Callithrix jacchus: one gene and its partners. The protein of the gene in region 5 purifies or fractionates together with the protein of the main gene of each other region. This does not show direct contact. Links are inferred from orthologs where the notes say so. Each region holds a gene or a part of one and is shown on either strand. Other genes may lie near its edges.

Region 1 (4,007 bases), on a different chromosome or scaffold from region 5:
TGTTTCTTTGGAGGAGGGATGAGACATGTGGGCCACTGCAGTGAACAATACAGATTATGGTACCCGCTTTAGTGACTGTAGGAATCTATTGATGGAACAGGCAAGCAAATGGGCTGTTAATATAAAATTAACGTAAAAACGAACATAGATGGTTACTTACTCCTTATAGAGAAAAAGGAATAGGGTGGTTGAAAACTCTTTGAGAAGGAACAGAATGTAAAATCTAAGCTAAAAATTCATAGATGAGTAGAAGTTACCCTTGTGAAAAATGTTATATTCCCTGATAGAAGCAACAGCTTAAGACTAAAGAAAGAGACCTGAGAGTGGATTAAGGAGCATGATAACATTAGGGCGGGGAGTCTTGCAGCTGGTCTAGATCTTGTGACAAATGAAGCTGAAGAGAGAAGCTGTGGGCTGATCACAAAATGGCCTTGTAACTTATAAACCATTTTCAGGAGTTTATGTTATCCTGGAGGGACACAACATGATCACATGTTTCAGGGAAGCTCTGGCTGCCGCAGAGTGTCCTCCCGACCATTAAGCTAGGCTTCCACAGGCAGAGTGTCCTGAAGTTTTGGCAGCAGGAGAAGAGGATAGTGTCCAAATACAATATTTATACATAAGGCAATACAGGCCTTCAGGCTGATGTGATATTTGGGGATACAAAAGAGGATCCGAGGCTGACACCTTGGCTGTGACGTGATTCCCTAATTTAGCAATTGCATAATGAGGAGAGAAGCGGAACAGGAGAGAAATAGTGGGCCCGTTTTCAGACATGTTGCATTTTAATTATCTGAGCTGTTGCTTAGGATTTCGTGTACTGCATAAAATATACTCCATAAATATTTTGAATCTTTATTGTACAGTACAAGTTTGTAAAATTGTACCAAACCACCTTACCACTGGAAATTATCAAACTGAGAACCCCCCTTTTTAAGCTACCTAGTAAATAAACCCAGTAAGTTTCAGTGGGAAAAACACACATTTGCCCGCCCTCAAAAAAGCAGTTGTTTGGCTTCGCGCATGCTCAATATGTACTTGGGGCTCTTAAACTCCTCTTCAAAGAGCGAAAAACCTGTTTCCCCCTGCTGGCCAGACTGCGTAATGCAGCGTCAAGAGGGCAAATTCCTAGGGGCGTGGTAGTTGGTGGATGACGTAAAAAGAGCGTCGGGGACAGGCGATTGCGCTTGCGTCAACGGTGCGCGCCGCGGGAACCTTGACAAGCAACATGGCTGCGGGTTGTTCAGAGGCGCCGCGGCAAAAGGCGGCTTCTGATGGGTCTCTGGTAGGGCAGGCTGGCGTCCTACCTTGCCTAGAGTTGCCGACTTATGCCACTGCTTGTGAGCTGGTGAACAATCGCTACTCATGCCTGGTGGCCGGGCCGCACCGAAGGCACATCGCTCTGTCGCCCCGCTACCTTAATAGGAAACGCACTGGCATTCGAGAGCAGCTGGATGCGGAGCTCCTGCGCTATTCTGAGAGGTACTGATCTCTTTGCCTGTTCCTTCTTTTGTGCACGGGAAGTACCAGCAGGTGGATGTGCTGATGACGTAGCAAAAAAGGGAGAAATGGTAAAGGTCGCACTGCCCCCCAGAGCTTATACCCGTGGAATTTTAGAGTCTTGATCCGTCCCTCAAGGCCAGTACCGCTCTGGTAAAGATCTATACAGGGTCCCTTTCAGATAGAGAAGAAAACTTAAAGGTGAAGTTCAGGTGTGGGCGGAGGAAGTGGAGATTCTCGCTCCAGATCCCTGATGGTAGGGTTAGGAACAGAGCAGGGGTCTGGAGACCTAGTAGGCCCGGTTCTGTATGGCATTCAACGTTTCATTTATCCCCTTCCGGATGATGTTTTCTCATTTGACAATAAAAATTTGGTTTGCAGTGCTTAAGTAGATTCTCATTCCATAGAAGATTGCACATGAAGCATTAATACAACTGTTCTATTTGTAAAACGTGAAGCACGTTTTTGTTGGATTTTGCTCTGGTAATTTCCCCAGGTTCTCTTCTTTTGGATCTGATCTGGGGATGATGAAAATGCCATTAGTTTAGTGTTGTTGTTGTTGTTGTTAAGACGATTTATGCAATCGAACTAGTAAACCTGTTGCTTTTGGGTGAGAAAAACCCAAAACGTATTCATTTATATTACAGTATTCAAAAGCAACTTGAAAACTCAGAATTACAGAAGTATGTGTGTGGAGGGGGTGCAGGCATGTGCTTTAGTATTCCTCTGGACTATACTTTGGTTCAAAAGAGAGGGTTCTAAAACTAGAGTGAATGGATTTCCTAGGAATTCATGATTGCCCTTCAGGAATTCCCATGTGAAGTTCCTTGGGTGCTGGTATCCAAAGCTTTTACCATTTTCTTAAGGGATCCTGGACCAACACACACAGGCTGATAGTCAAGCATGTCTAGAATATACAGCTTCTGCCAAGCACCAACACACAGTTCTTGTATGTTTATATTATATACTGAGAATTTGAGATATAAAAACAAACAAAAAATTAAATCCCTGTTTCAAGGAGCTATATAAGCTGTAGTAGAGATACAGATTCAAGCCAATAAATAGTGAAGTGTTAAAATTTGACAGAAATCTAATAAGGTAAGGAGTGTTGAATTTGGATCTTGGGACCTTTGAGAACAACTTGACAGAAAAGGGTACTTTCACATGATAGTATTCCAGACAAAGAGAGTGGCATAAACAAACGGATACTGGATGTGAACTGGTATGCTATGCCTAGGGAGCTGTATCTATTATATAAGCAGAATAAGGTGTATGTCAGGGGAAAGGCATTGGAAGTCACTGGAGAGAAGGGCAGGGGGTCAAAAATGACTCAGAGTATGGCTATTTTGCTTTTCCCTTCCTGCCATTGCCAGTTTTTGGTTTTAGGGGTGAAAAGTATGGTTGTTTTTCCTTTTGTGTTTCTGTTTTCTTAGGCAGGGTTAGTGCTTCATCCTCTCAATACCCTTTAACTCTGAGACCTCACACACTTTTGAGAAAGTAGCACATGTTTGTAGTCCTGGCATATCAGATTTGCACTTTAAGAAACAGCACTTGGTAGCCTTAATGGTTAGCTACCAAATAGGATGAGAATGTGGACAAGGAGATGAATTAAGATAATATTATAATTGTCTAAGAGAAAATGGTTAGAGGGGATGGTTTTTAGATTTAAGATTATACAAAGTGGTCATAACATCTGGAAACACAAGCAACTATTTTGTTTTCTGTCATCAGTATTGCCTGCACTTGACAGGCTAGGGGAAAGTCACCCAGAGTGGCTCTGAACAGATCTGGATACCATTCCTTCCACATTACTTGAGTATGCTGAAGACTCCTATTTATTCAGGTGCAAATCAGGCACCACACTTTGAACTATGCTTTGCTAATAAGGGACAAAACATTGAATATATATTACCAAAGAACTAAAATGAGGCTACCACCTTGCCCTGATACCCATTTAGAAAAACAAAAGTGAAGGAGGAAAAAGTTTATAGTGTTGGGTGCCTGTGTTCACATATCTGATGACTTTTAATAAAATCTCCCCTGAATTTATATATTGCTGAATTCCTGATAATTTTAATATATATTAAAACTATGCAAAAATGACTTTGTGTTTACGACTTTTAAGAGTCAAATTATGTGCCTAGCTATTTGTAAACAGATTTGTCCCTTTATTCAAAAGTCAGAGCTATTAATATTTCCTCATTGTACAGGATGGTCCTGTACATGGCAGACTCTTTTCTTTCCTGGATTCGACAAGGTTTGTGATAACCATGAATAGTATCACAAATTTCCAAATGGCCCACTCTTCCGTGCCCCACAGGGGACCACAGTCCTCCTTCCACTTGAGAATCACTCTCTGATAGTTGAGAGATTTGATTAGGGGAAATAAAGTCTTAATTTTTGTTTTTCTCTCTAATATGGCAGTTACTTTTTCTTCCTATTCTCTAACTCTGTTTTCTGTGTCCCTAACATTTTCTTAGTGATAGGATGATTCCATCTTAGGAATG
Region 2 (4,062 bases), on a different chromosome or scaffold from region 5:
CCATAAATTCTGACTCACAAGAGGAATTCACTCCAAAGAAAGTAGGCAAAATTACATTTTGTAAGTACATAAAAATATGATAAAACTTTTTTTTCCCCTTGGCTTTATAAATAGTAGTCATTTACTTTACTGTGTTTTACAGAACATTTTCAAATATGTTATTATTACAGTCCTAGATAAGTTGTGACATTATTTTCTGTGCAGGGCCAAATTTTCTTCATCTACTTCAACCAAAACAATGTATCACAAGGAGCTGAATGCAGAAGCAGACATGAGAATCCAGCTGTCTTTTCATTAAGCCAGACATTAAAAAGATTTTTAATAATGCAATTCATCTAATTTCTTTTTTGCTCTGAAAAATGATTTTCATAAAAATGTTAACATACAATTGGTTTATTTTTATTTCTGTTTATTTATTTATTTTTGAGACAGAGCCTTGCTCTGTCGCCCAGGCTGGAGTGCAGTGGTGCAATCTTAGCTTACTGCAACCTCCACTTCCAGGGTTCAAGCGGTTCTCGTGCCTCGGCCTCCCAAGTAGCTGGGAATACAGACATGTGCCACCATGCCCGGCTAATTTTTGTATTTTTAGTAGAGACAGGGTTTCACTGTGTTGACCAGGCTGGTCTGGAACTCTTGATTGACCTCAAGTGATCCGCCTGCCTCAGCCTCACAAAGTGCTGGGATTACAGGCAAAAGCCACCACACCCAATCAATTGGTTTATTGATTGATTGATTGATTGATTTTTGAGATGGAGTTTCACTTTTGCTACCCAGGCTGGAGTGCAATGGCGCGATCTAGGCTCACCGCAACCTCCGCCTCCTGGGTTCAGGCAATTCTCCTGCCTCAGCCTCCTGAGTAGCTGGGATTACAGGCATGTGCCACCATGCTCAGCTAATTTTTTGTATCTTTAGTAGAGACGGGGTTTCACCATTTTGACCAGGATGGTCTCGATCTCTTGACCTCGTGATCAACCTGCCTCGGCCTCCCAAAGTGCTGGGATTACAGGCGTGAGCCACTGCGCCCGGCCCGAATTAGTGCTTTTCTAAAATTTCTCAATTTGATTATCTTTTTTTTAAAGACAAGGTCTCGCTCTGTTACCCCAGCTGGAGTGCAGTGGCACAATCATAGCTCATTGCAGCCTTGAATTCCTGGGCTCAAGTTAGCCTCCCACCTCAGCCTCCTAAGTAACTGGGACCACATGTGCCCACCACCATGCCCTGCTATCTTTTAACTTTTACAGAGGACGAGGTTTCACTATGTTACCCAAGCTGGTCTTGAAATCCTGGCTCAAGCCATCGTTCTGCCTCGGCCTCCGAAAGTCCTGGGATTACAGGTGTGAGCCACTGTACCTGGTCTAATTAACTTTTAATTAGGTATTTTTTCTCACAGACATGATACTCTAAGAATCCAGGCACAATACATACAAATATCCCCACCACTCTTGTCTTCCCAAAAAATAAATTTTAATGCCTCCCGTATTATTTGCGGAATAGAGTTCAAGTATCAGACTGGCAATCAAAGCTCTTCACATTATCTCTACCCGTATCTCTCACAACACAAATCTTACACAACAAAACCACAGGTAGGGTCCCCTAAGCATGTGACTCTGCTCTACTCTTCCCCTGGACGGAATGCATGTTTCTCACCTCTTGAACTCATCTAATCCTGCCTTTTCTCAAACTCCTGGACTAGTTGCGCTGCCTATATGCTCCCACAGTAGCCCATAAAATCCCTTGACAGAGCAGTGCTCGCGTATTGGCATGGACTACTTTCCTATCTTCACTCCTTTAACCCCAAAACACGACAGGGACCACTTAAATGTATGAACTGTCTCTTACACGGGACTGCGGCCTTCACATCCTCAGAGCCTAGTGCCTAGAGACACTGGGGATACTTACTAAACGAAACTTTCCCCCACCATCCTCACCTCAATTCTGCTACCATTACCCTACGCTAGTAATGCTATTACACTTTTCGATTCAATCTTGCCTTTACGACTCATTTATACCTTCTTTAGCACCTACTTAATTCAGAACAAATGAGTAGTTTCTCTCTTTAAAGCTCTAAGAAAAGGAAACTGAAGGATAACCTTGTACATTACACTGTACCTACAAATACGTTCAGAATATTTTGAGGTACGTTTTGGAGAGGTGTCTTCAAGTGATACAAAGGCATGTGCATTGTGAATGGTTGGGAAGCACACCCCCAATAAGCCATTTCCTCACTCTCACAGAACCCAGAAACTATCCAACAAGAAACTATGGTTCGCAATCACTTTTCAATCCAGAAATCACGAATACATCTCTTAGACGACTCGAATACACGTTCCACGAGGCCCAGCTCTGCGTCTTGTTCAACACGTGTGCTCTCCCGCTTACCCTCTGAGCCTGTCAGGATCAAGGAGCAAACGCATTTTGGGTCACACTGTGGCCTCTGAGCCATTTCTCTGGGACCCTGTCACCGCCCGCGCCCCACAAGGCCCAGACCTCACCCCCGCCCCTCCCTCCTCCAGCTCCGCCTGGCCCCTCTCGCCCGCCAGCCTCGAGCTTGGTCTCTCCGCGGCAAGGGCGCCAGTGGATGCCGCACTCACCTGCACCGCGAGGCCGAGACCCTCGTGCACAGCATAGTTGAAGGACTCCACATGAGCCCGCGTCAGCTCCTGCAACGCTGCCTTTTGCTGTTCCCGCGGGATTCCATAAGACGGGTCGGTCAAGTGCTTTAGGCTAGGCCCATTGGGAAGGTTTCGCCACCGGCTGCAGGGATCCATGCGGCTACTTGCACACCTAACACCCGTCGCTCAGTACGCGCCGGAAGTAGTGGCCGGAGTCCCGCTTCCGCAGCCTGCTGGGAAATGTAGTTCCCTCTTGTTCCGCCCGCCCTAGGCCCTACGGTTTTTATGGGGTCGACGTAGAACCAAAACCGTCGAGTGAACGGGCCGGTTAAAGCTGTATCCAGCCAGAGCGTGGCGGGTCCGCCCCTTCTCCCATCTTCCGCTCCACGCATCTCCCTCCTCTGCTAAAGAAGGCGAAACCCACTCCTCACCCAGTTGAGCGTGTGACCTCTTTGGCTCTCATTGGCTCAGTCAATTAGGATTGGAGGTAAGCGGTCTTCTCAGGTTCCCATCTATCCGGTCCCTTAACCTGTTCCAAGTCCCACGCTGATGCCGACCCTGGGGAGTCATCCGGACAAAGTCGTTGTTTCAATGAAAAATCGGATGCCGGGCCCCGGGCTCTTTACCCAACTCCTAAATCGCGAGGCTCACCCCTGGAAGGCCAAGGTCGGGCCCGCTAACCTCCCCGCATCGTCTGGACTGGAGTCCTGGGGGAGGCCCGGGGAAGGAGGTGGGGTAGGGGTCGGGCGGTCTCAGATGGAGAGGCTGTGGTAGGGGGGCGTCCAACATTTAGTACAATGTTGAAGGGACAAGAATAAATATACTTGTTTTGTGCCTGATGTTGGAAGAAAGCTCCCAACTGGAGCATTCACATCACCATTAATATGATGTAGGCTGTGGGTTTTTCCAAAGATGCTCTTTATCAAGTTGAGAAAGTAATTTATTTCTAGTTTGTTGAGAGGTTTTCTTCCCAAGAGTGTTATTGCCAAATGCTTTTTCAGTGTATATTGAAATGATCATGTGCTTTTTGCTCCTTTTTTCTACTAAAGTGGTATATTAAGTAAATTTTGTAAGTTAAACAAGCTTTGCATTCTTTTTTCCCCTTCTCAACGTTTATTTTAGAATCAGGGGTACCTGTGCAAGTTTGTTACAAATGTATATTGCGTGATGCTGAGGTCTGGGACACGGTTGAACCTGTCACCCAAGTTCCAATAGGTAGTTTTGTATCCAATAAGTAGTTTTAAACCTTTGCTCCCCTGCTTCTCTCACTGCTCTAGTAGTCCCCAGTGTCTGCTGTTCCATCTTTATGTCCATGTGTACCCAATGTTTAGCTTCCACTTTTTAATTTAATTTTTTTTTGAGACAGGGTCTTGCTCTGCCACCCAGGCTGGAGAGTAGTGGTATGAACTTGGCTCACTGCAACCTCCTTTTCTCAAGTTCAAGTGATTCT
Region 3 (3,500 bases), on a different chromosome or scaffold from region 5:
AAAAGGGAGAGAGCATCCCTCCGCTTCTACTCACTTCTCCTCCTCCTGGCTGGGCGGCATCAGCATCAACAGGTACTCACTGCAGGGATAGGGCAGGGGCAGAGGCTCAGGGCCGACCCAGGCTGGACCCTCCTCAGACAGCCCACCACTGCCCTCCCCCAGAAGCCCCAAGCCCCTGCAGAAAAGGGAAACATCTCTTTCCCGGCCCACCCCCTTGGTCTCCTCCAGGGGACAATGGGCTCCACCCTGCTGCTAGAGGAGGATCCACACCGAAGGGAACACCCCAACCCCGGGGCCCCTGGGCTGGCATCCAGCTTACATGCTGGCCTAGCCCTTCCCACCTGGGTGACTTGACAAGCTCTGTGTTCTCCACCCCACTCGAGCCTGGGCATAGCAGGTACTGGCGCTCGTGCTCAGAGCGGCTGTCCTGTTGGAGGAGAGGAGGGTGTGAAAGAGCCTCAGCCGATGGCCCTGGTCTGGGCCCCCTTCCCAAGGTCTCCCCTGCCTTCCACTCCATGGGCAGTCATACGACCACGTCCAACCTCCTAAGCATGGCACCCAAGGCCTCTGATGTGGCCTCAGCCACCCATCTTCCTGGCCTTATGACATGCCCAGCCCCAACCCCAAGCCTTGGTGCCCTGTCTGTAACACAGGTACATCACTGGCAATGACAAAATGATGGCTACCGTTCACTGAGCACCTAGGATGTGCTGGACTCTGTTCCACTGGGTGTAAATACACTAACTCATCCCATTCTCAAAATAACTCGGCAAGGTAGGTACTATGATTACTACTCTCATCTTATAAATTAGAAAACTTAAGCTCAGAGAGGTCAGGTAACATGCCCAAGGTCATAAAGCAGGAAACTGCAATGTTCCAAGGTTTGACCCTGAGTCTTAAGGGTCTGTCAACACAAATCTCTTCCAGGAAGGTTCCAGAGGTTCCCCACCCCAGAAAACACTGGGAGCCTGGTCCATGGTATCTTTGGAAGCTTCCCTCACTTGATACATAGTTTCAAGGGTTAGGTTCTAAAGTCAATGCACCAGGGCCAGGTGGCCATGGCTCATGCCTGTAATCCCAGCATTTTGGGAGCCTGAGGCAGGCAGATCACTTGAAGTCAGGAGTTCAAGACCAGAATGGCCAACATGGTGAAACCCCATCTCTACTAAAAATAAAAAATAAAAAAATTAGCTGGTGTAGTGGCGGTGCCTGTAGTCCTAGCTACCTGGGAGGCTGAGGCAGGAGAACTGCTTGAACCCAGGATGCAGAGAATGCAGTGAGCGGAGATTGAGCCACTAAACCCCAGCCAGGGTGTCAGAACGAGACTGTCTCAAAACAAAACAAAACAATAAAGTCAGTGCACCAGATGAAAATTGAATATAGTAAAAAATCCTCCTGGGCAGGCGTGCCAGGAGCTTTGGGGCAGACAACAGATGACCAACTTTCTAGGGCAGCACCAGAGAACATGTCTGGCCTGCGTTCAGGACCTGGGCACAGGAAAAATATGTAACCAGACACCAGTCCCGCTGCCAGCCCAGCAAGAGGCCCACACCTGGGGCCAAACCCCACCCAGGGAACCTCGGATTCGAATCTTTTTCTCTTGCTCCCCTGGGGTCCACGCTAAATGGCTTGGCTGGAATGAAGTGGAAACTGCCCACAGGACTAAATCATCTCTTTGTGGCTAGGACTCATGAATGTGACTTAAGTTCAAGGTGAGACATGGAGGCCACATCCTGCCCCTCTGGGCACGGGGTGTCCCCCCCAGGGCTCCATGAGGCCCGCTCACCCTCGCTCACCTTCAGGCCATAGTAATGCAGGTGTACCCAGGCCTCTTCCGCATGCTTCTTCTGCAGGAACTCATAGGACTGCACGCGGCGCTGGCGGGCCTGCTCTGACTCGGGCCGGGAGAACCGCACCTAGGGTGGCAAGGGGAAGAACTCATGCCCTCAGGCCTGTGACCCTTCCTGGGCTGCCATCTCGGCCTCTGCCAGGAGACCAGAGAACTCTGTATCGAGGTTTTCCCCGCCCCCCTTCCTTTCCTGGCACAGGTCGTTTAAATTCCGTTCCAACTGCGTCCCTCCCAGAGCTGTCTGCACACGTTGGGGAGTGGCTTATACTTGGTCGCGCCTGCCCAGCCCACAGGTTTGAGGGGGATTACAAAGTCCCAGGCACGAGAGCTGGCAGAGTCCTTACAGCATGCAGGCCCAAGGACGCCTTTTCTAAAAAGGGCTGCATGTCCCCCAGAGCCGAAAGGAGTTTCTAAAGTCCTACGAAGCTACTGAGAGAAGAGGGTGAGCTCTCTGAGCCACCGCCGTGTCAGTTACACCAGTGTTCCCCAGTCCTCAAGGACATCCGAACACTCACCGCTCTTTAGCCAGGCTTGTATATGATCATTCCATGTGTAGCATTTTTTTTTTGGTACTACTCATTTTAATCTAAATATGCTTAAATAGGGAAAACTTTACAAACCATAAATGGAACGTTAAGGTTCTTTGAAAAATCCTTAAAATTCAGGAATAACTATTAAAACAAAAACTATTCATCTGTGCTGCATAAAGAGGATAGAATTACAGTTAATTGACTTTGGCTCGTTAAGATACAGGTTTCAGGCCAGGTGCGGTGGCTCACGCCTATAATCCCAGCACTTTGGGAGGCTGAGGCGGGTGGATCATGAGGTCAAGAGATCGACACCATCCTGGTCAACAAGGTGATACCCTGTCTCTACAAAAATACAAAAATTAGCTGGGCATGGTGGTGCGCGCCTGTAATCCCAGCTACTCGGGAGGCTGAGGCAGGAGAATTGCTTGAACCCAGGAGGCGGAGGTTGTGGTGAGCCGAGATAGTGCCATTGCACTCCAGTCTGGGTAACAACAGGGAAACTCCGTCTCAAAAAAAAAAAAAAAAAAAAAAAGAAAAAAAGATACAGGTTTCATGGCAGAGCTGGCCTGTGGGTCCTCGGAGCTCCTGGCCCCAGCTTCCTGCTCCCAGGTGATTCCAGCCGAGCCTCAGGGACCCATCTCCTGCATCCAGCCAGGGCTCTGTCTTATGTGCAGCTGGGAAACTCAGGATGTTCCATTAAGGCACCCAGCAAGAAGGCTCAAAAGCATGGACCCTGTTTGTTCCACCTGTTTCCCTCGAGGACCCGCTACCCCTTGGTCTCGGGGCTGCTGAGTTACTAAACTGGTCCTGCTGCCACCCAGGTAGCACCCACCTCCCCCAGGGGCCAGGGCTCACCGTGATCTGCTTAACATCGTCTTCCGCCTCATCCTGTGAAGAGTCCCCTGCTGCAAGAGAGACAAGCCACTGCCTGCAGTCCTGGGGAGCGCCCACCTCCCTTCTCTCAACCCCACCCTCAAGGGTGCTGGGAATTCTCCTCCAAGAGGGAGCTGCCTAGGCCGGAGGTTCTCAAGTGGGGACACTTTTGCCTCGTCTCCCAGAGACACTGGGCAATGTGTGGAGACGTTTTTGTTTGTGACGACTGTGGGGTGGGTGCTTCTGGC
Region 4 (4,144 bases), on a different chromosome or scaffold from region 5:
TACCTGACAAAAACAAGCCTTCAGACTCAAAGTAGCCAAATGGTGCAAACTTGGGCCTCCAAACCTCAAATTTCAGGACTGCATAAGAATTCACTCTTCCCACAGTTTCAGACTCTACACTCCCACAACACAGTACAAAACGGAGTAGTATGCAAACATTAAGACTGAGGTCACACCACGACGTTCTAACTTCTGAAAAGTAAAGGTATTCTGGCCGGGCATGGTGGCTCACACCTATAATCCTAGAATTTGGGATGCCAAGGCAAGCAGATCGCCTGACGTCAGGAGTTCAAGATCAGCCTGGCCAGCATGGTGAAACCCCATCTCTACTAAAAGTGCAGAATTTAGCAGGGCGTGGTGGCAGATGCCTCAGGAGGATGAAGTAGCTGAGCTACTCGGGAAGCTGAGACGTAAGAAATGCTTGAACCTGGGAGATGGAGGTTGCAGTGAGCCAAGATCACACCACTGCTCTCCAGCCTGGACAACAGAGCAAGACTCCATCTCAAAAAAAGAAAAAAAGACAGTTCACAGCTGTAATCCCAGCACTTTGGGATGCCAAGGCAAGATCGCCTGAGGCTGGGAGTTCAAGATCATCCTGGCCAACATGGTGAAACCCTGTCTTTATTAAAAATACAAAAAATAGCCGGTGGTGGCGCACGCCTGTACTCCCAGCTACTTGGAAAGCTGAGGCAGGAGAATCACTTGAACCACGGAGATGGAAGTTGCAGTGAGCCGAGATCACGCCACTGTACTCCAGCCTGGGCAACAAGAGCAAAACGGTGTCTCAAAAAAAAAAAAAAAAAAAACAAAAGTAAAGGTATTCTAAAAAGCAAATCTGTATTATTAAGGAAAAGTAATAAGTTATAATACAGTGCATCATCTGCTTACTGAACAGCTACTATGTCATAGGTTTCCTTTTAGTTGTTCAGAATAGAACATGGAAAGGAACAGAGAAAAACCCTGCCCGCCTAGACCTTAGGTCCTACTATTAATAAACAAAGCACACAATACATTACATAATATATTAGGAGGTAATAAGCCCTATGGAAACAATTAAAAAGGGAAGGAGGGGCCGGGCGCGGTGGCTCACGCCTGTAATCCCAGCACTTTGGGAGGCCGAGGCGGGTGGATCACGAGGTCAAGAGATCGAGACCATCCTGGTCAACACGGTGAAACCCCGTCTCTATTAAAAATACAAAAAAATTAGCTGGGCACGGTGGCGCGTGCCTGTAATCCCAGCTACTCAGGAGGCTGAGGCAGGAGAATTGCCTGAACCCAGGAGGCGGAGGTTGCGGTGAGCCGAGATCGCGCCATTGCACTCCAGCCTGGGTAACAAGAGCGAAACTCCGTCTCAAAAAAAAAAAAAAAAAAAAAAAAAAGGGAAGGAGGATAACTGAGAAGGAAGGGCTGCAACTTAAAATACAGTCAACGTTGAAGACAAGACCAGACCAGTGAGTAAGCCGGCTCTAGGGGAAGAGTGAACCAAGCAACCTTAAGTGCCAGTCCTCCAGGAGGCTGGTGTTGATGGGGCAAAGGGCAACAGGAGGAGCGCCGGGCAGCGGCTCAGTGTCGGAACCTGGTAGGTCCTGGAGGACTCCGGCTTTTCCCCTGCGTGAGCTGGGAAAGGTCGAAAGTTTCTGCGCACAACACGGACCTGTGTGACTCGGCCCTTACGGAATCGCCGTGGCCGCTGCTGCGAACGCAGTAAGGGGCGCAAGCGTGAGAGCAGGAACCCAGGGAGGCGGGAAACGGCGGCCTAGCCGGGTGTACAGGAAAGCAGAGCCCACGGGATCCGCTGCCGACTGGAAGGGGGCGCGAGAAAGAGCGGACAGCCGGGCGCAATGGCTGACTCCCGTAATCCCAACACCTTAGGAGGTAGAGGCGGGCGGATCACGAGGTCAGGAGTTTGAGATCAGCCTGGCCAACACGGTGAAACCCCGTCTCTACTAAAAATACAAAAAAAAAAAAAAAAAAAAAAAATTAGCCAGGCCGGGCGCGGTGGCTCAAGCCTGTAATCCCAGCACTTTGGGAGTCCGAGGCGTGTGGATCACGAGGTCAAGAGATCGAGACCATCCTGGTCAACATGGTGAAACCCCGTCTCTACTAAAAATACAAAAAATTAGCTGGGCATGGTGGCGCGTGCCTGTAATCCCAGCTACTCAGGAAGCTGAGGCAGGAGAATTGCCTGAACCCAGGAGGCAGAGGTTGCGGTGAGCCGAGGTCACGCCACTGCACTCCAGCCTGGGTAACAAGAGCGAAACTCCGTCTCAAAAAAAAAAAAAAAAAAAAAAAAAAAAAAAAAAATTAGCCGGGCGTGGTTGCGGGCGCCTGTAATCCCAGCTACTCGGCAGGCTGAAGCAGGAGAATCGCTTGAACCTTGGAGGAGGAGGTTGCGGTGAGCCGAGACCGCGCCATTGCATTCCAGCCTGGGCAACAGAGCGAGAGGATGTCTCACTTTAAAAAAAAAAAAAAAAAAAAAAAAAAAACGAGAGAAGGAAAGGGCAGAGGCACAGACACGCCGGGGCTGGCGGCGAAGGCGCTGCAGTCGGAGGAAGCGGAAGTCCTGCGAGAGACGCCCGCCTTCGAGTCCCACCTTGCGGGTGATGTTGTGCACGTAGGGGCACGTATTGCAGGCGAAGCGGTGGCAGCGCTGTCCCTCCTCCACGATCAGCCCGTTCCCGCAGCCGGGGCAGAACAGCAGCATCGTCTCCGACTCCACAGGGCCCGGCTCCCAGCAGCTCCCGCCGTCCCTCAGCGCCGACACACCGCCCGCCTCGAGCTCACGTCGGTGCCGGCAGCCGCCCCGCCCCGCCCAGCCAACCAATAGACAGGGCGATTCTGCGCGCCCAGCAGGCTATCTCGTACTTGTCATTGGTCACTGCAACTGCCCCTCCCCTCGATGCACCAATGGCTGGGCGGCCTCGCTGGGGCGGGCCCCCGTTCCTGCGCCTGCGTACTTGGCCTCCGTAGTGCGGCTTGGCAGTGCGGGCGGGGCCCTACTGAGACGCGCAGTCCTGGAGCAGGTCGAGGCCGCGAGTCGGCCCGAGGCGCAAGAGGACGATGAGGACGAAGAGGAGACGCTGCCTCACTCCGAGGCCGTGGACGTGTTCCAGGAGGGTCTGGCCATGGTGGTGCAGGACCCGCTGCTCTGCGATCTGCCGATCCAGGTGTGTGCGGGCGGAGGCTGGGGGGCTGGGGTCGTTCCCCCGGGGGCCGGGAGCCGGGGCGTTCGGGTACGTGCAGCCTCTGAAGGTGCTGATGGGAGAAGGCGCCTCTGGGTGTAAACGAGGGTCTTAACCTGGGTAGGGCGCACTCGCCTGGGGCGCGAAATTTAAAGAGGCACCAGAAACCTCACTAGTGAGTGACAATAAATGACCTTTTAATGTAATTGTATTTAGAGGGGGTCTGGGGGACAGGGTCATGCTCTGTCACCCAAGCTGGAGTGCAGTGGCGCGATCTCGGCTTACTGTAGCCTGGACCTCCTGAGCTCAAGCCATCCTCCCACCTCAGCCTCCCGAGTAATTGGGACCACAGGTGCGGGACACCACGCCCAGCTAATTTTTAAATTTTTTGTAGAGAGGGGGGGGTCTCACTATGTTGCCCAGGCTGGTATCGAACTCCTGGGCTCTGGCGATCCTCCTGCCTCTGCCTCCCAAAGTGCTGGGATTATAGGTGTGAGCCACCCGCCCAGTCTGTAATAGTTTTAAAAGTAAAAGTTGATGAAAAAAAAAAAAAAGCCTACAGTAAAGAAAAAAATCTAGTTTTAAACAAGAGCAAGATTCGTAGCACTGATTGTTCCATTTGCCTCAAGCACCAACATGCTTTGGCACGATACTTTGTTTGAGTGGGTTTTTTTTTTTGAGACAGAGCCAGGCTGGAGTGCAGTAGCACGATCTAACATGCTGCCCAGAATGGTTTCAGTCTCGTGCTCTGCCCACCTCGGCCTCCCAAAGTGCTGAGGTGACAGGCATGAGCCACCGCGCCCGGCCAATTCTAAATGTTTGATATTTTGCTCATGGATTTTTTAATTGGCCTTGTGCTTCTTAAATGTTGTGTTAAAATATTTATAGTTAATACCGTTTTTTGCTACCCTGGTAAATTTCCCACACCTGCTTTACCCCAGTCCCAGTCCCAGGCCCTGGCC
Region 5 (3,500 bases):
TCATAGAAGTATAGTTAGGCTAAAAAGCTTCCTTAATTTTGAGTACAAAAATGTGTTCATTTCAGTCATTTCTTTTTAAAGGATAATGAACTTGTTAGTGTGTTATAAATACACAATGCAAGGCCAGGTGCAGTGGCTCACGCCTGTAATCCCAACACTTTGGGAGGCCGAGGCAGGTGGATCACCTAAGTGCAGAAGTTTGAGACCAGCCTGGGCAACATGGTGAAATTCTGTCTCTACTAAAAATACAAAAATGAGCCGCACATGCTAGCACACAACTGTAATCCCAGCTACTCAGAAGGCTGAGGCAAGAGAATCACTTGAACCTGGGAGGTGGAGGTTACAATAAACTGAGAGCGTGCCATCACTCTATAGCCTAGGACACAGGGCAAGACTCTGTTTCAAACTAAATAAATATAAAAGATAAAAAAAATACAGAATGCATAGACAAATGACACAATTCAGCTTTATTTTTACTTAATTATAACAATTTTTAAAAACTCCATGACTTTGTGCTATTTCTAATATTTAAATACAAAACATTTCAAATTTTGCACAAATAATTTTGGCTAATGCATTACTATATTTGAATAAAGTCAGATGAAGCAATGATTCCTCCTCTGTGTTTGAAAGGAATGACTGTGGTTACAAAGTCACAGAATGAGTCTCTGGGATCTGGGGTGGGAGAAGGGGTGGATTAAAATGCTTTGGGTTTGTCACTCCCGAGCAGGCTGAGGGTGTGGCATAGCAGCTCGGTGGCGGAGAAGTCTATTCTAGTTTCTAACACCCCAAAGCTAACTTTTCAGATGTATTTCTTTCTAGTATGTAGAAAGGGCTTTCCTTGGCTGCCAGGAAGTGGGGAGCAGGGATGTGGCATGGTGATGATCTAGGGACAGCCAGGCATATGCTCAGACACTTTGGAAAACTGGGGAGGGGGAACAGGGAGACAGAATCTTCATCTTCTTCCTTTTGTGGACTGGGGAGGAGGGTGCTTGGAGACAATTTCCTGAGTGTAAAGAAGGAATACAGGTTTGAAAGGTTTGTAATTATATGTTAAAGAAGGTACTGAAAACCAATACTGGGGGGTGGGGGAGAAGATGCTGTAAACACTTCTATTTAAAATGAAGATTTCTGGAACAACTATACTAATAGTGGTATCGTAAGTCTTTAGCTGGTAAGATCTAGCACTGAAATAACTATTTTTTTAACTTGTGAGGGATATTTTTAAAGCACCACTTAAAACCTATGTTTTAAAAAAATTAAATATAGAAAAATTGTTCTAATAAATGAGTTTGAGAATGCACAGAAAACAACAGAACCCATTTTTTAACCTCTGGTAACTGAAGTGGAGCATGAAATTCAAAGCCACTTTGAGGATGTCCTACATTGTTCACCTAAAGAGAAACAAATGCAGAGCTATCAAAGAGTTTCTTGATAAATTCCCAGACCTTGGAGGGCTACAGCTTTTCAAAAATATGGTCCCTGGACTGATGATTTCTAAATTTTAAATTTGATAACCCCAAAAAGTAACATATACGATTTATAAGTGGTTTTTTTTTTTTTGAGAAATGACCAAAAAATTGGAACTAGTTTTAAGAATCTCTGAAAACTTTAAATTCTACACATATTTTGAAACACACTTCCAAACAAGATAGACTAACAATAATACATGTCTACTACACTGCAGAAGTAGCTGAAGCTTGCCAAGACATCCTCCTTTGTCCTTGTTTCCTGGAAGAGTTGCTAGGTCATTTTTTGCCGGTGGCCAGCAGCCTCTTTAAGAACAACAAAGGATCTACTGTAAAAGTCGCTCTCAGATGTTTGCCCTGCCAGCTAACGCTTTCTCTGCACACCGCACCCGAAGGAGCACGGAGCCCGCAGGGCTGGCTGGCCCTGGCTCTGGCCTCACCGCCGGCTGGGCCGCCTTTCGTACTTGTCCTGGCTGCTCCGCTTCCGTGGTGGGGAGTAACTGACGGAACCTCGGGAACGGAAGCTGTGCTTGTAAGGATGGCTTCTGTGTTTCTTCGGGTTTTCTTCTTTCTGGGCCTGGCTCTTCGCTGGTTCCTTATCGTCCTCTTTTTGTTCATGGTCTTGCTCTTTATGAGAGGGCAATGTGTTTTTAATTGTGTTAATTAGAAATCTTTTATTGGTACCAGCAAGAGGACACTTCATCCTGGGGTTGCGGGGAGAAAAGAAAAACCATCACAAATCAAATGGTTAACTCCAAAGCTGGACCCACTATCGTGATTAGTACCAAAGAATCCTGCTCCCACAGAACCGAGTTTATGAATTTGTTAGCTTTCCTTGCATGCCACCTAGTGTAAACTCTGAGTACCAGGGGAAAAAAAAATCAAGACGATTGAATTCTTGAGACAAGACTGCCCAGGCCCTGTCTGAACACTTTTAAAATCTTTCTTCCTTCCTGAGACTAAATTTCCCGGCTGAAGTTCATATGTACCAGTACTGACCACACTGTGAATTAACAGAATCACTTAATATTTTCTTTCAACTAGTAGGTGCCCGATTTGACTATAATCTGTTTTGGATTAAATTTATTCTGCGTTGTGTTTTATTACCAGATAGTGAAAACTGTTCCTTTTCAAGGAGCCAAAAAAGTATATTCTGCTGTATCTTAAATACAGGAGCTAAATGATCTGCTCTAGAAAAAAAAAATTGTGTAAAGAATAAAAAATATGCACTAATCTTTTACTTAAAAAAATTCTTCCATTTCTATTTCAGGATGCCAGGCTATGCTCTGTGGAGGGGAGCTTTACTCACTCTCCTGCTCTGGTGAATTTCAGTACAGGATATATTTAAGTAGCTTCATGATTCAAGTTCACCTAGGAGAGGCTGCAACCAATCAAATTGCTAATTTACACGCTTAGAGATCTAATAAGAGCTTCATACTATTTATTTTCTTTTTCAGGTGTTAATCTTTCATTTTCAAAAAGATGACCCTACACCAATGAGAACTTGTATTTCTCTTGGCCTTGAAGTATCTGCCTAAAGTATGGGCTACTTTAGGAGTATCCCCAGAATCATGTTATTCAGGGTGGCTGGTATTAAACAAAATGCAGTAGAACAGCCACCTTTCAATAAATTGTGATTTACAGAGAACCCCACACAATGCTTCCGAATCAAGCCAACAACACTCCACCGTGGGAACTGTGTGGACTAGTACTGCACAGGGGAAGCACAGGCAGTCACTCATCACTTAGAGTTCAGACCACCTCAGAAAGCCAAAATGGCACGGAATCTGGAAGTAAAAGGGAGAAAAAAAAGAAAAGGCCTCCTGCTGCAAGTAGGTAGCTCTTGAGCCTTTAAAGGACAGAGAAAATATTTGAGAAGAATCAATGTTTACTTTCAGTGTGCTGTGCCTGTTTAATGGTCAAGCCAGAAGAGTGACAAAGGAATGAACTAGAACAAAGAGGAAACTAAACTGAGAGAAGGACAGTGGAGTGCAACAGAAACAGTGGCGACAGAAACAGTGGCGACAGAAA
Region 6 (2,619 bases), on a different chromosome or scaffold from region 5:
CTGTCCACTTCCACTTACCCTCCCTCCCGGGTCACCACTGGAATGTAGAGCAGAGAGCCAGCTCCTCCACCTGCCTCCGGAAGCACCAAGTCCTCTCCTCCGACTCTTCAGAGTCATCCCCCATGCCTGTAGCTAAAAGCCTCTACCCAAATCTTCCACAAAAATAATGAAATAATGAGACTATGCAAGTGACTCATTCAAGTCAATGTGAACTGACTCTCTAAGAGACTGAAAGTGTTGGAAGGACACGAGCAGGGCTCCTTGCCAATTCAAACTTCTGTGCCAAATGGGTGGTATCTTCTGGGCCTGGGGTGCCCTCAGGAGCCAAAAGCACAACACTCCCTCTCCCAGACAGAAAACCACACTGGAGGATAAACGTTGGGAACAGTCAGCCAGGAGACTGGGATAACCCTGAACCCAGATACCAAAAGGCTGGAATAGATCCTACAATGGCAAGTGATCAGCTGGCTGCGGGCCAGAAACAGTACACCACAGACAAATTGGAAAAAATGATTTTACAGTAAACGAACTTTTTACAAAAAGGGGAGGGGCAGTCTGAAAAAGTAACATTTGATTAAAAATCATATACACAAAGCTTCCTATTGATTTTAAGCTCTCCCACTGTGTCTTTCACAGGCGAGTGAGTTTCTAACTGAGTGCAGGCCAGTTAAAGATGCAGCCACAGTGGACAGGGAACCAGCCCCTCCTCAACAGGTAATCAAGAGCAGCTGCAACTCAAGCTAGAACGATGTCCAGGACCTGAGTGACGTGGCAGCAAGGCTGGCTTCAGGCGAGGTTCAGAAGGCTAGCTTCTTCATCAGCAGATAAACTCTGGAATCCACCTCAAATCCATGCAGGTTGTTGGCATCCCCCTGCAGCCTCATGAGCAGGCCCCCATAGGACACGTAGGCAGAGCTGAAACAGAAGGCCGCATGCCATGAGTCTGGAGCAGCTACTACTCAGCAGCTCTCCATCTCAGCCTAACAAAGAGAATAACATCTTTCTACTGTTTTGTCACTAGGAACCAAAATTCTGACAAAGATGAATGTACAGATATGTGTAAGGCACTGTTCTTTTTTTCTTTGGGACAGAGTTTCTCTCTTGTTGATCAGGCTGGAGTGCAGTGGTGTGATCTTGGCTCACCGCAACCTCTGCCTCCCGGTTTCAAGCAGTTCTCCTGCCTCAGCCTCCCAAGTAGCTGGGATTACAGGTGTACACCACCACACCTGGCTAATTTTATATTTTTAATAGAGATGGGGTTTCTCCAGGTTGGTCAGGCTGCTCTCAAACTCTCAACCTCAGGTGATCCACTCACCTCAGCCTCCTAGAGTGCTGGGATTAGAGACATCAGCCACTGCGCCCAGCCAGCATTGTTCTTTCTATTAGCAAAGTCGAAAAACACCTATATGCTCCAAATCAGGGGAATGGGATCCACTTACTGAAATGTTATCTAACTATTAAAATGTTTAAGAAAGCTTTACACTAACATGGGGAAACATTTTCTTTTTCTTTTTCTTTTTTTTTGAGACGGAGTCTCTCTCTGTCTCCTGGGCTGGGGTGCAATGGCACAAGATCTCAGCTCACTGCAACCTCCGCCTCCTGGGTTCAAGCAACTCTCCTGGCTCAGCCTCCCAAGTACCTGGATTATAGGTACCTGCCACCATGCCCAGCTAATTTTTTGTAATTTTTTTAGTAGAGACGGGGTTTCACTATGTTGGCCAGGCTGGTCTCAAACTCCTGACCTGGTGATCCACCCACCTCGGCCTCACAAAATGTTGGGATTACAGGTGTGAGCCACCACGCCCGGCCAAAACATGTTTTACATAATGTTAAGCAAAAAGCAGAAAAAAGGTAATTAACACCGCAGTCTCAAAGGAAAAATATAGATGTTAAGAACACTAGGATATTAACAAAAAATTAAAAATAAATTTAAAAAAAGAACACTAGGATATGCAAAAAAGTCTATGTAAAAGGTTCTCTCTGGGTATGGAATGACAGGGTTTTTTTTCTTCTTCACATTCTCTTCCGCATTTCAAATTACTTACAAACAGCACATATTGTTTTAATAAGATTTTAAGGAAAAGACACACACACACACACACACACACAGCCTAATAGTATAATCACTTAATGCTGCATTTGGTTCCTCCATACTTTAACAGGGAGATGACCAGTTTCTCTTCTGGACCACTAGGCCAGGAGGGCCTGACAAAGGGCAGTCTACAATTCAGACTGGAAACTGCTCTAATAACCATTTCTTTCTAGTTCCCACCTATGTCTGAGGTGCCTAAGGAGAAGGACCCAACAGAGGAAGCAGAAGCATAACTCAAAGTCTCAGAACAGGGAGGGGGAAAACAATCCTCACAAGATCATGTAACTTACAGGCGTGTTGCCGCTTCAGTAGAAGTTTCGTCTCCCTCAATCCTGTATACTTTCCCATACATTACATACTCAAATTGGTCAGCCCTATGGAGCAAGAGTAGCAAAGTTATTCTTAACAGTAATTAACAATATAAAAGATGCCATTTAAAAATGGTAACTGGTAACTCGATGCCAGCATTTTAACAACAGGCACATTATAAACATGACGCCATTTAGTCCTCACAGCAATTCTGTGAG
Region 7 (3,500 bases), on a different chromosome or scaffold from region 5:
TACACTGAAAATCCTAAAGTTTACTTTGTTTTAACATGAAAGTTTTCAGGCTACAACCAATATATTCTAAAACTTGGACAAAATCCTAAAAATAAGCATCATGCTACACCTGTATCAGCCTGGAGAACCAACATCAAACACTGGCACAGAGCTGTGTGCCCCAGATGGGAGAGGGGCTGTTCTCTCTGTGGGACCAAGAAGGCTTCTGCAGGTACAAACTAACTGTCCAGCGAAACAGACTGAATGAGCTGGGAGCAGCTAGGCAGACCCTTGAGTTCAATAAGCTCATTTTAATGATGGAAAAACCAGGGTTTAGAAGGAACTTGCGTAAGGTCCCACATCTTCATTTTCTCACACTCACCTTTTCTCTATAAGTTTTGGTCTGACTCTCTTGTACCAGTTCACTCTCAACTGATTCATCTATCAAAACAGACAGAAAGAAAAGTCAAGTGGAAGGCTTACAAATAGTAATAGGGTTTAATATTCATTTGTCTATCTAAGAATAATAGATTTTTTTACTATAGGACTTCCCTGAGCCTAACATGAGTGCATACTGTGAATATTTAATACGTAGCTTTAGTATACAATTAAAGAACTTGAAGAATAAATGAGAGAGTCAAATGAAGGGGTCATCCAGCCCAACTTCTTCATTTTAGAAATGACTCGCCCCAGGGCAGTTCACCAGGTGGTGGCAAACAGGATTGGAAAACAAGTCCTTGGCTCTTCTGAAGAAATAATTTTGCTTTCTTAGTGAAAGACCTAAAAGCAGGCATGAACATGAGGTATGTGGTATTTATACGATGCTCTCTAATCATCTACAAATTACTCAAATAAGGGGCAGTAGAACCTAGCAGACAACAGCACAAGCTCTCGAGTGACCTTGCCTGTTATCTCAGACATCACCCATGACAAGGTCATCTAACTTCTGTGCCACTTTCATCACTGGTTAAAAAGAAAAACAACAGTACTTACTCCAGAAGGTTGCTGTGTACATCAAAAGTGCTTAGAACAGTGACTAGCACATAATAAGGACTTAAGATAAATGTTATCTGTGTGTGTGTACTAGCTAGAATAAACTCCTACTTACAAATTTCTTACATACAAGAGCAAAAATCTGTTTAATTAACATGTTAAAATTACAATTTTCCTTGCCTCCTTGGATTTTATAAGAACAATTGGAGAATGACTTAAATATAGTTATATATGTTTGCAAAGCAGAGGGACCCCTACGAAATTCACAGACAGGTGTCAGGACTCAAGAGCCCTTTAAAATTATGTGTAAAATTTGGCCAGGCACAGTGGTTCACACCTGTAATCCCAGCACTTCGGGAGGCTGAGGTGGGTGAATCACTTGAGGCCAGGAGTTGAAGACCAGCCTGGCCAACGTGGTGAAACCCCATTTCTACTAAAAGTACAAAAATTAGCCGGGCATGGTAGTGCACACCTATAACCCCTGCTACTCAGGAGGCTGAGGCAGGAGAATCGCTTGAATCTGGGAGGCAGAGGCTTCTGTGAACCCAGATGGTGCCACTGCATTCCAGCCTGGGTGACAAAGTAAGACTTGGGTCTCAAAAAAAAATAAAAATTAGGTGTAAAATTCCATATTTTTTTAAAATCCCATATATATATTTGTGTGTTATATACGTTTCTCAGAAGTAGGTCCAGGTCCTCATCAGATTCTCAAAAGGGGTAGAAGCACTGCTTTGAGAGAATAAAGCTGGAAGTAATGCCTCTGAGGTATCAGGCAGATTCACCATGATCCCAGCGATTCTTATCTACTACGCTATCCTGCCATGGTTCTCAATATTCAAGAGCATCACTAAGGATTCAAGTTCTGAGATTTAAGGAACAGAAGCCCCTTAAGTATGACCCTCTTATTTATTATTTTGGAAGGTCTCACTCTAGCCCTGAGCATTCTAACATGACAAAGCAGAGAAGCAATGTAAATTCTTCCACTAGATTAGGGAAAAAAATACATCTTCCCCAAATTAGTGAGGAGACTTGTCCTCAACATGAAAGTTACTATACAACCTAATAAGCAATTTTTTGTCTACCAGAGATTCTAAAACCTCTTTATCCTAATTATAACGGTTAAGAATTAAGAAAGGTCTTTGATGGAAAAGATTTTATATCAGACATGTCCTTTAATATTCTGCTCTGATCATTGCACAGCTTGCTTTTATGAACCTCCCACCTCAAGTCTCTAAACACCATGGGGACAGGATGTCTTGCTTACTGCCATATCCACAGCCTCATGCCTGATGCAGGAGATCATCAATAAGTGCATGCTGAATACAAACCTCTAGGCCAGGCTCAGTGGCTCATGCCTGTTATCCCAGCACTTTGGGAGGCTGAGGCAGGTGGATCACCTGAGGTCAAGAGTTTGAGACTAGCCTGGCCAACATGGTGAAACCCCGTCTCTACTAAAAATATAAAAATTAGGCAAGTGTGGTGGCATGCGCCTGTAGTCCCAGCTACTTGGGAGGCTGAGGCAGGAGAATTACTTCAACTTGGGAGGTGGAGGTTGCAGTGAGCCGAGATCACACCACTGTACTCCAGCCTGGGCGACAGAGTGGGACTCCATCTCAAAAAAAAAAAAAAAAAACACACACACAATATATATATATAACCATTTTCTCAACACAGACAAAGCAGAGAAAAAAAGAATAAAATAAATAAATGAAAATAACTACAAAATGTGTTTATAAATCTAAAACTCAGGCCAATTAATCCAGCAAACCCAAACTATGCATTGTTTCTGTCAGCTTTCATGGCTGGGACCTACCTGAAAACAGTGGCTGCATGTTAAACAATTCAGCATCATATACTTCCATTTGGCCAGAGGTCTTGTTCAAAATTCCCACAAAGTGCCTGAATAAAGAAGGAATAATAGAAGTAACAATGGATTATTCAAAAATATTATTTGTACAGCTTCCTTTTTCCTTTTTGAGATGGAGTTTCCCTCTTGTTGCCCAAGCTGGAGTGTAATGGCACGATCCTGGTGCCCAGCAACCTCTGCCACTGGGTTCAAGTGATTCTCCTGCCCCAGCCTCCTGAGTAGCTGGGATTACAGGCATGCACCACCAGGCCCAGCTAATTTTGTGTTTTTAGTAGAGATGGGGTTTCTCCATGTTGGTCAGGCTGGTCTCGAGACCTCAGGAGATCCACGTGCCTCAGACTCCCAAAGTGCTGGGATTACTGGCATGAGCCACCACAGCTGGCCTTTTTTTTTTTTTTTTTTCAGACAGAGTCTTGCTCTGTCTCCCAGGCTGGAGTGCAGTGGCACGATCTCAGCTCACTGCAACCTCCACCTCCCAGAGCAATTCTACTGTCTCAGCCTCCCAAGTAGTACAGGCGCATCCCACCATGCCTGGCTAATTTTTGTATTTTTAGTAGAGATAGGGTTTTACCATGTCAGCCAGGCTGGTCTCGAACTCCTGACCTCAGGTCAGGAGTGCTGGGATTACAGGTGTGAGCCACTGCGCCTAGCCCTTTTCCTG

What was found.
Region 1: the proteins of protein POLR1D (region 5) and POLR1F purify together in Homo sapiens (affinity purification with mass spectrometry; 3 studies listed by BioGRID and IntAct, counting the BioPlex papers as one, with this or other methods). This does not show direct contact. The link is inferred for Callithrix jacchus from reciprocal best matches to the Homo sapiens genes POLR1D and POLR1F.
Region 2: the proteins of protein POLR1D (region 5) and POLR1B purify together in Homo sapiens (affinity purification with mass spectrometry; 5 studies listed by BioGRID and IntAct, with this or other methods). This does not show direct contact. The link is inferred for Callithrix jacchus from reciprocal best matches to the Homo sapiens genes POLR1D and POLR1B.
Region 3: the proteins of protein POLR1D (region 5) and POLR3E purify together in Homo sapiens (affinity purification with mass spectrometry; 3 studies listed by BioGRID and IntAct, with this or other methods). This does not show direct contact. The link is inferred for Callithrix jacchus from reciprocal best matches to the Homo sapiens genes POLR1D and POLR3E.
Region 4: the proteins of protein POLR1D (region 5) and POLR3K purify together in Homo sapiens (affinity purification with mass spectrometry; 3 studies listed by BioGRID and IntAct, with this or other methods). This does not show direct contact. The link is inferred for Callithrix jacchus from reciprocal best matches to the Homo sapiens genes POLR1D and POLR3K.
Region 6: the proteins of protein POLR1D (region 5) and POLR2H purify together in Homo sapiens (affinity purification with mass spectrometry; 4 studies listed by BioGRID and IntAct, with this or other methods). This does not show direct contact. The link is inferred for Callithrix jacchus from reciprocal best matches to the Homo sapiens genes POLR1D and POLR2H.
Region 7: the proteins of protein POLR1D (region 5) and POLR1E purify together in Homo sapiens (affinity purification with mass spectrometry; 3 studies listed by BioGRID and IntAct, with this or other methods). This does not show direct contact. The link is inferred for Callithrix jacchus from reciprocal best matches to the Homo sapiens genes POLR1D and POLR1E.

What each region holds. Positions count from the first base shown.
Region 1 is NC_133512.1:38,561,546-38,565,552, forward strand, and holds the start of POLR1F (DNA-directed RNA polymerase I subunit RPA43), read left to right. Parts: upstream 1-1,207; 5' UTR 1,208-1,228; coding exon 1,229-1,482; intron 1,483-4,007. UniProt on the Homo sapiens protein: Component of RNA polymerase I (Pol I), a DNA-dependent RNA polymerase which synthesizes ribosomal RNA precursors using the four ribonucleoside triphosphates as substrates.
Region 2 is NC_133515.1:22,055,078-22,059,139, forward strand, and holds the start of POLR1B (DNA-directed RNA polymerase I subunit RPA2), read right to left. Parts: upstream 2,801-4,062; 5' UTR 2,769-2,800; coding exon 2,592-2,768; intron 1-2,591. UniProt on the Homo sapiens protein: Catalytic core component of RNA polymerase I (Pol I), a DNA-dependent RNA polymerase which synthesizes ribosomal RNA precursors using the four ribonucleoside triphosphates as substrates.
Region 3 is NC_133513.1:22,906,796-22,910,295, reverse strand, and holds part of POLR3E (DNA-directed RNA polymerase III subunit RPC5), read right to left. Parts: intron 3,285-3,500; coding exon 3,235-3,284; intron 1,917-3,234; coding exon 1,797-1,916; intron 428-1,796; coding exon 342-427; intron 80-341; coding exon 35-79; intron 1-34. UniProt on the Homo sapiens protein: DNA-dependent RNA polymerase catalyzes the transcription of DNA into RNA using the four ribonucleoside triphosphates as substrates.
Region 4 is NC_133513.1:2,334,473-2,338,616, forward strand, and holds the start of POLR3K (DNA-directed RNA polymerase III subunit RPC10), read right to left. Parts: upstream 2,801-4,144; 5' UTR 2,705-2,800; coding exon 2,594-2,704; intron 4-2,593; coding exon 1-3. Other genes in the region: SNRNP25 (U11/U12 small nuclear ribonucleoprotein 25 kDa protein), read left to right, coding at 3,126-3,167. UniProt on the Homo sapiens protein: Core component of RNA polymerase III (Pol III) which synthesizes small non-coding RNAs using the four ribonucleoside triphosphates as substrates. Can mediate Pol I proofreading of the nascent RNA transcript.
Region 5 is NC_133506.1:146,860,106-146,863,605, reverse strand, and holds the end of protein POLR1D, read right to left. Parts: exon of another isoform or gene 2,927-3,500; intron 2,174-2,926; coding exon 1,906-2,173; 3' UTR 447-1,905; downstream 1-446.
Region 6 is NC_133516.1:13,344,881-13,347,499, reverse strand, and holds the end of POLR2H (DNA-directed RNA polymerases I, II, and III subunit RPABC3), read right to left. Parts: intron 2,467-2,619; coding exon 2,383-2,466; intron 916-2,382; coding exon 798-915; 3' UTR 501-797; downstream 1-500. UniProt on the Homo sapiens protein: DNA-dependent RNA polymerase catalyzes the transcription of DNA into RNA using the four ribonucleoside triphosphates as substrates.
Region 7 is NC_133502.1:144,462,817-144,466,316, reverse strand, and holds part of POLR1E (DNA-directed RNA polymerase I subunit RPA49), read right to left. Parts: intron 2,872-3,500; coding exon 2,786-2,871; intron 421-2,785; coding exon 362-420; intron 1-361. UniProt on the Homo sapiens protein: Component of RNA polymerase I (Pol I), a DNA-dependent RNA polymerase which synthesizes ribosomal RNA precursors using the four ribonucleoside triphosphates as substrates.